Ovis aries: one gene and its partner. The protein of the gene in region 2 interacts with the protein of the main gene of each other region in a pairwise test. Links are inferred from orthologs where the notes say so. Each region holds a gene or a part of one and is shown on either strand. Other genes may lie near its edges.

The links.
Region 1: the proteins of IPO13 (region 2) and PBX4 interact in binary tests that used the Homo sapiens proteins (3 or more experiments, as listed by UniProt). The link is inferred for Ovis aries from reciprocal best matches to the Homo sapiens genes IPO13 and PBX4.

The regions. Positions count from the first base shown.
Region 1 is NC_056058.1:3,519,146-3,523,291, reverse strand, and holds the start of PBX4 (pre-B-cell leukemia transcription factor 4), read right to left. Parts: upstream 2,801-4,146; 5' UTR 2,731-2,800; coding exon 2,579-2,730; intron 1-2,578.
Region 2 is NC_056054.1:18,587,192-18,591,207, forward strand, and holds the start of IPO13 (importin-13), read left to right. Parts: upstream 1-1,216; 5' UTR 1,217-1,833; coding exon 1,834-1,917; intron 1,918-3,680; coding exon 3,681-4,016. UniProt on the Homo sapiens protein: Functions in nuclear protein import as nuclear transport receptor. Serves as receptor for nuclear localization signals (NLS) in cargo substrates.

The DNA of each region.
Region 1 (4,146 bases), on a different chromosome or scaffold from region 2:
AGGCAGGTCAGGTGGTCTGGTATTTCCATCTCTTTCAGAATTTTCCACAGTTTATTGTGATCCACACAGTCAAAGGCTTTGGCATAGTCAATAAAGCAGAAATAGATGTTTTTCTGGAACTCTCTTGCTTTTTCCATGATCCAGCGGATATTGGCAATTTGATCTCTGGTTCCTCTGCCTTTTCCTGCTTGAACATCAGGAAGTTCACGGTTCATGTATTGCTGAAGCCTGGCTTGGAGAATTTTGAGCATTACTTTACCAGCATGTGAGATGAGTGCAATTATGCGGTAGTTTGAGCATTCTTTGGCATTGCCTTTCTTTGGAATTGGAATGAAAACTGACCTTTTCCAGTCCTGTGGCCACTGCTGAGTTTTCCAAATTTGCTGGCATATTGAGTGCAGCACTTTCACAGCATTATCTTTCAGGATTTGAAATAGCTCAACTGGAATTCCATCACCTCCACTAGCTTTGTTCTTAGTGAAGCTTTCTAAGGCCCACTTGACTTTATACTCCAGGATGTCTGGCTCTAGGTGAGTGATCACACCATCGTGATTATCTTGGTCGTGAAGATCTTCTGTGTATTCTTGCCACCTCTTCTTAATATCTTCTGCTTCTGTTAGGTCCAGACCATTTCTGTCCTTTATCAAGCCCATCTTTGCATGAAATGTTCCCTTGGTATCTATAATTTTCTTGAAGAGATCTCTAGTCTTTCCCATTCTGTTCTTTTCCTCTATTTCTTTGCATTGATTGCTGAAGGCTTTCTTATCTCTTCTTGCTATTCTTTGGAACTCTCCATTCAGATGCTTATCTTTCCTTTTCTCCTTTGCTTTTCGCCTCTCTTCTTTTCACAGCTATTTGTAAGGCCTCCCCAGACAGCCATTTTGCTTTTTTGCATTTCTTTTCCATGGGGATGGTCTTGATCCCTGTCTCCTGTACAATGTCATGAACCTCATTCCATAGTTCATCAGGCAGTCTATCTATCAGATCTAGGTCCTTAAATCTATTTATCACTTCCACTGTATAATCATAAGGGATTTGATTTAGGTCATACCTGAATGGTCTAGTGGTTTTCCCTACTTTCTTCAATTTAAGTCTGAACTTGGCAGTAAGGAATTGATGATCTGAGCCACAGTCAGCTCCTGGTCTTGTTTTTGTTGCCTGTATAGAGTTTCTCCATCTTTGGCTGCAAAGAATATAATCAATCTGATTTCAGTGTTTACCATCTGGTGAGGTCCATGTGTAGAGTCTTCTCTTGTGTTGTTGGAAGAGGGTATTTGCTATGACCAGTCCATTTTTTTGGCAAAACTCTATTAGTCTTTGCCCTGCTTCATTCCGTATTCCAAGGCCAAATTTGCCTGTTATTCCAGGTGTTTCTTGACTTCCTACTTTTGCATTCCAGTCCCCTATAATGAAAAGGACATCTTTTTTGGGTGTTAGTTCTAAAAGGTTAGTTCTAGTAATTCTAATAATCATGTTAGTTATCTAATTATCTAATAATGTTAGTTCTAATAATTCAAGCAGACCCCAAACATAATGGGCTGCCTTGTGAAGCACCTTCTACCAATCCTGGCTGGCTGACAAATGGTAGGTGGAGGTGAGACATAAAAACCACTGTGATTTTCCCACTATACCTGAAATAAAACCCAGACTCCTTCCCGAAGCTTGTCATTCCCATATGATCTTGGTTCCAGACTCTCTCCACTCTACTGGGGACTTTCAGTCCCTAGCTCTGCTTTCTTCCTGCCCTTTCCCACCTTGGGGCTTCTGAAGGTGTGGTGCCCTCTCCACCCGGCTTCCCACAGCTTTCCATCCCTTTACTTACAGTTTTCCTCACAACTTAGTTTTGTTATTATTTTCTCTCTGTCAAACAATTAGCTTGACAACAGTAGCTATGACAGCACCCCGCTCCGTGCCCCACACATAGTATCAAACAAATATTCGCCAAATTAATTTAAAGAAAGAGGGGGATCCTTTGTCTCCACTCAGCTTCCCCACTGATGTTTTTACTGGATCATTCCCAAATCAAATGACACCATCTTTTTATTCTCCAGTCTTATTTCCCACAACTCATTCTCCATGACCGGCCCCCTCAATTTCCCATCTTCATAAATACCACTGATTCATTCAGTTGTCCATTATTCACAAATCCTGTGTGAACCCACCTCTCAGCTCTTACACCCCTCATCTCCAAAACTCTTCCCTCTTACATTTCATAAACTTTGAAACCACCTTTCACCATAAACCTCTCCATCCACAAACTCTCCTTAAACCCATCCCTCTCACCTCAGGACGAGCTCTTAAAATCTATCACTCAACTGCTTAGCTCCATAAGCTCCCTTTCAATCTGTTCCATTTTAACCCCTCACGTCCCTTCGGCCTCAGAATCCGGCTTCAGTCCTCCTCAAGCCTCCCCCTCCCATGCGCCCTGCCCTCCCTCTCTCCGCCCAGAGACTCATCGCATCTCTCACCTTGCACCTTCCTCACCCCCACGACCCCCGCTGCCCCGGTCCTGGCCCCTCGGCCCGCCCCCTTCAGTGAAGCGACTTTGGATGGCCCCCCGCCGAATCCGCGCCAGCACCTGGCCTGCGCCTCGTCCAGGCTCTGGTCGGTAATGGCCATGATCTGCTGCAGGACGTCTCCTGTGTTGGAGCCCGGTGGGGGCCCGGGCGGCGAGCGGCGCGGGGCGGGCGGTGGCGGCGCGGGGCGCGGCGGGCGCTGCGGAGCGTCCATGAGCTGCGGGTGCTCAACCAGGAGCTGGCGAGCCTGGAGAGCTCGCGCAGACGTCGTAGCCAACTGCTGCAGTCCGTGCGCCCGGTGCGCTCACCCCGGAGCCCCGGCCCTCGGCGCCGCCTACGGCCAACCGCCGACGGCCAGGCGGCTGCGCCCCGCCTAGGGACACGCCCTACTACCGCCGCCAGCCAACCACCGCCGCCCAAGCATCCCCGCACCGCCTAGAGACACGCCCCCACCAGCCCCTCTCAACGGCCTAGGACTCTTTTGGAGGTTGCTGAGGCAACGGCGCTTTCCATTTTAACCCCCTCCCTCTTCCCCGCTGGCTCAGACCGTAAAGAATCCGCCTGCAATGCGGGAGACCTGGGTTCGATCCCTGGGTTGGGAAAATCCCCTAGAGTAGAGCATGGCAACTCACTCCAGTATTCTTGCCTGGAGAATCCCCATGGACAGAGGAGCCTGGAGGGGTACAGTTCACGGGATCGGACTGAGCGACTAAGCACACATTCTTCCAGCCGGAGAGGGCGACGCAGTTTTGTTCTGCTTTGGAGACTCCCATCTCTCACATCTCTGCCTTCCGCATTTCCTCACAGCGACCGCTCCTGCTCAGAGGCACTTTACTTCTCCTCAGAGCCAGAGCCCACCCTCCTCCCCTTTTCAGAGGCTCCCATGTCTCAGAGCATTCCTCAGGAACCTACACATCTCAGATCCTAACTTCTCAGGCACTCCACTCTTACTTCAAGCCACCCTTTATTTTCAGACCTTCCCTTGCCTTTCAGAACCCCATCAACAGCCCCCCACCACAATCTGCAGAAACCCTGAGCCCCAGATCTCTGCTCAGTGAGCTAGTGCGTCCCTCAGCCTAGGTCCCATCAGGTGGGTTGGGGCTTCCGGCCTCCTGGCTCCCCCTGCTGCACCTCCAGTGTTCCATGGGTGGCACTAGAGTATGTGGTGATGGTGGCTGGGAGTTAAAACTGAATGATTTTCTCAGCTGCAGAAACCAATTCACCTTTCAAGATTCAGCTTAAGAGTGACCTTGCTTGTTTATTCATTCTTTCGCTCTACAGCATTCCGCTAGCACGGGAAGGATGCTTTCTGAGGACCTACCCTGCTGCATCCCCAAAGCAGAGTGAATCTTCACAGGCCTTTGTTTCTAGCTGTTAGGACTCCCACCATCAGAGGATTTTTGTGTGAGAGAAAAGGATTTATTATTGGACATAAATCACTTCTCCAAAGTCATGGGACCTCCTCGAGCCCGTTTGCTTCGGGGACAGATTTCTGACACAGGCTCAGAAAGGAACTTCAATTTCCTGTGAACATTTCAGAAACTTCTTCCCACTACTGTTGGAGAGGAAATGCGAACACCATCTAATGTGAAAACCACGACATGGCCCGTTAACAGAAGTACTAGACCAC
Region 2 (4,016 bases):
CGGTACTTCAAACATTTTCTTGATAAAGATTTGTTGAATGACTAGATTCCCACTGGACTCTGCTTACCAGCTAATCAAGCCTCCTCCTCCCCAGCCTCTTGCTGTTGCTATTCAAGCTAAGATCAAGTTTCTCCTCCTCAGGGAAGCCTTCATCCACCTCAGGCCTCAGTGGCTTCCTCCACTGAACACAAGAACAGAGGTCCTTTCCTTTTTTATTTTATTTTATTTTTCCACTTGAGGTAGAGACTGCTGGCGACTTGGGCCAACCAGATCTGTGGCTGATCTCTGCTACCCTCGCTGTGTGTCCAGCGAAAAGATAAGCTCAACTTTCCTCAACTTCGGCTTCCTCATCTGAAAATAGTGAATGAAAATGCCCACCACAGAGTTGCTCCGAGAATTGGCCTTAAGGTATGCAATGTGCTGTTCCTTGCACTTAAATATCAGCTATTTTAATGACTCACAAAGAGAAGTTGCTTCCGAGAACCTAGTGAAATTCTCCAAGCACTGTCCATGGTAAGTAGTTTCCCGGTTGCTCGCTGGGTGGCCCTGAGAGCCATCCTTTTTTATTCCTGAGGCGCGCCAAGCCCCTTTCCTCCTCGGTGTTCTCACGACAGTACCCTTCCTGGGACCGAGGTCTTGCCGCCAGGGGAGCACCAGATTAACCTGTGTCCCCCCAGCCCCTCGGTCCCCTCCCAAACACACACCTTAACCTCCAGCCTGGCTTCCCAGCTCTATCCCGCCGGCCTCTAGACTCACGTCCTCTTAGGAAGCTGCCAGCAGCGCCTCTAGCCGGTCGAACTTGGCCGCAATAGGCCTAAGGCTTCCTGGGCTCGGCTGATCCTCAACCCACGTGCTCCCGGCCTCCGCCGCAAGGCACCGCCTTCCCGCTGGGCGCCATGCGGACTACATTTCCCAGGGTGCGCAGCGGCGGGGCCTTAGCTCGGGTGGTGAAGAGGGGGGCCGCCTCAAGCGGCGCGCCGTTCCGCGGCCTGCTCAGAGGCGCGCGGGCAGGCGCGAGGATACGAGAGGGGACCCGGAATGAGTTTCCGCGCAGTTCCGCCGTGCCGTGCCGGGCTGTGCCGGCCGGGTGGGGCTAGGGCAGGCGCGGGTCCGAGAGGGACGGCTTCTGAGTCGGCGGTGCCGCGGACAGGCGCTTGGGGCAGCCCGTGCCTCGCTGAGGTCCCCGCCCCGTCCCGGCCGGGCCGGCTCGCCTGTCAGTCACTGGGGCGGAGGCAGCGGCGGTAGCAGGGCCGGAGACGGAGGGTGAGAAGAGCGCGGGCCTGGCGGAGCCGAGGGGACCTGCCACAGCCCCTTAACTCCACGGACTCTTCGCCCGAGATTTGCGAAGCTGTACCCCTGCGCTTCGTTGGACGCCTCCGTAACCCGCGAAGGGCTCTCTCCCCCGTAACCTCCCACCCCCGTGACCTCCTCCTAGAACCCGAGATCTCACTAGGGTGTTGTGGTACAGGCCATCGACCCTGTGACCCCTTGGTTTTCCCCAGGCCTCGATTCCCTATGACTCCCTCTTCATAGATTCTGGGGACAGAACCCTGATCTACCATCAGGACCCCCGCCTGCAAACTCCTCACTGACGGCTTTCTCCTAGGAGTTCCCCTCAGTGGGTCTCCTCCTAAGAGCACCCCTTTTGGCCTCTGGCTAGCCCCCCACCCTCAACCGAGGTGGGGCGGCCTCGGCAGCCATGCTCGCCCTGGGACCCCTGTCACCCCACCACTTCCTGGGTACCCAAGCCGGAGTCTAGCAGGGGGCCAGCAGCCAAGAGGCTGGGGCAGGAGACAGGCCACGGTCCACCTCCCTGCTGGGGAGGGAGCAAAGATGGAGCGGCGGGAGGAGCAGCCGGGGGCTGCAGGGGCTGGAGCAGCGCCAGCCTTGGACTTCACGGTGGAGAACGTGGAGAAGGTATGAGGGCCCTGGGGAGGGGCACTCCAGTGACAGAGCAGAAGTTCTGGGGACTGACACTAATGCCAGGGCCCAGGCCTGGGCTGGGTGCCCGTTGGGATGGTGCCTCCAGAGCACCTGGCATTTGCTGTCTCTCTGGGCCAGCCGACAGCAATGCAATGGTGTCTTAGGCTATTTTTGGCCTTCCGTAGACACCGGTCCTCTGTGGACACGCTAGGGTCTTGGGATGGTCCCTCCAGGGTGCTGATGGCTTAGACCCTCCAGCCAGACTGGCCACTCTCCAGCTCCATGGGAAATGCATGAGCAGTGCAGTAAGAAACCAGGAATGAGGGAGACTTGCAGCTCAGTCTCCAGAAACCAGAGTGATGCTGAGCCATCCTGGCCCTGTTTGGTTGAGCAGGGGCTCAGAAAATAATCTGAAACTAAAACAATCTGGGTTGTGTTTTCACTTTTCCTTGGAGAAGGGTCCTTCGGTTATTGGATGGAGGCCAGACCACTCCCGGGCAGGCGGAAGTAGGGCTGGCCCCTTGGTTTTGTGCTGGATCCAAGGAGCCTGGTCCTGCTGGCAGCTTCAGGGTCCTTCCCTACTCACCTGCCCACATGGCTTCCTGCCATGGCACTCTCAGGCTCCCCCACTGCTCAGTCTGTCTTTTTCAAACTGCTTCTCTGTGTCTTTGCTGGGTTCTGCCCCCAGAGGCTGGGAATGTAGAAATACTTTCCACCCTGGGGTGGATGGGGGAGAAGGGGCTATCGTGGTGGAAAACAGGGAATGGTTGCAGATACTCATTTGTTATTCTTGAGCCCCGTTTACCATACCCAGTGGTAAGGATGCATCTTTCTGCTTCTGTTCTCTGCCTGCCTCAGCATCCCAAGGGTCAGTGGCCATAACTGGCTGTCAGGGGTACAGACAGGGCTCAACCTACTTGGATGGAGCCTGCTTAGGGGGTGAGAGTCCTGGCCTCACTCATCCACCCCTTGGGGCTGGGCAGTGTTGGCATGGTGGCGCACTGTTCCATGTGCCTCCAGGGAGATAAACCACTGTTTTCCTACTGTGTGAAGTCCTAATGGAATTGGGACCCTGGGGATTTAGCTAGTTGAGAGCTCCAGGCTAGGCATTTGCCAGGGCTGCAGGCCAAGACTTCTCTGGACCAGCTTTTGGACCCTCTTGTATGCTCTCTGAGGAGTGTTCTCACCCTCCCTTCCAGTTTGTCTTTGCCCTAGGGCTGCCTGGCAAAGTCTTAGTCCTGCTCAGATTTCACAGTGGCTTTGGTGCCAGCATCTGGAGTGACCTAGGGATGATCCTGGGGGAGCTAAATGGAGCTGTTGGAGTAGATAAGAGCAGCTGTGCCTGGGAGGGTTGGAGGCGGTGGGTGGCTCAGGCTGTTCCATGCTCTTCTCAGGCTTAGCTTCTTCCTTATGGAGCCACTCCTTCCACCTGGGCCTTGCCCTTTACCTCAGGTGCTTTTCCTTTGGGGAACTTGGCCTCCTCTTTTGCTGCTTCCCTGCAGAAGTTCACGCTCCCAACCCCTAAGCTTTTGCTATAAAGAGAAGAGGCTATGGTGGAGTGTGGGCAAGTTCGGGCTCTCAAGATCCCGGCCGGACCCCAGGTCCATGAAGCACTGCTGAGCCTGAGCTCTCCCTTCCCGCTCAGCCCCCTGGTCAGAAAGAGAGGACAGTTTTGCAGGACCGAGTCATGGCCTGTGTTGTGGGCTCTGGCAGGACCAGAGTGGCCAGCACCTGCTCAGTCTTGTGCTGTCCTGCAGGCGCTGCACCAGCTCTACTATGACCCCAACATTGAGAACAAGAACCTGGCTCAAAAGTGGCTGATGCAGGCCCAGGCGTCCCCTCAGGCCTGGCACTTCAGCTGGCAGCTCCTGCAGCCGGACAAGGTGCCTGAGATCCAGTACTTTGGGGCCAGCGCCCTACACATCAAGATCTCTCGCTACTGGAGTGACATCCCTACTGACCAGTATGAGAGCCTAAAGGCACAGCTCTTCACCCAGATCACCCGCTTTGCCAGTGGCTCCAAGATTGTGCTGACTCGGCTGTGCGTGGCACTGGCCTCGCTAGCTCTCAGCATGATGCCCGACGCTTGGCCA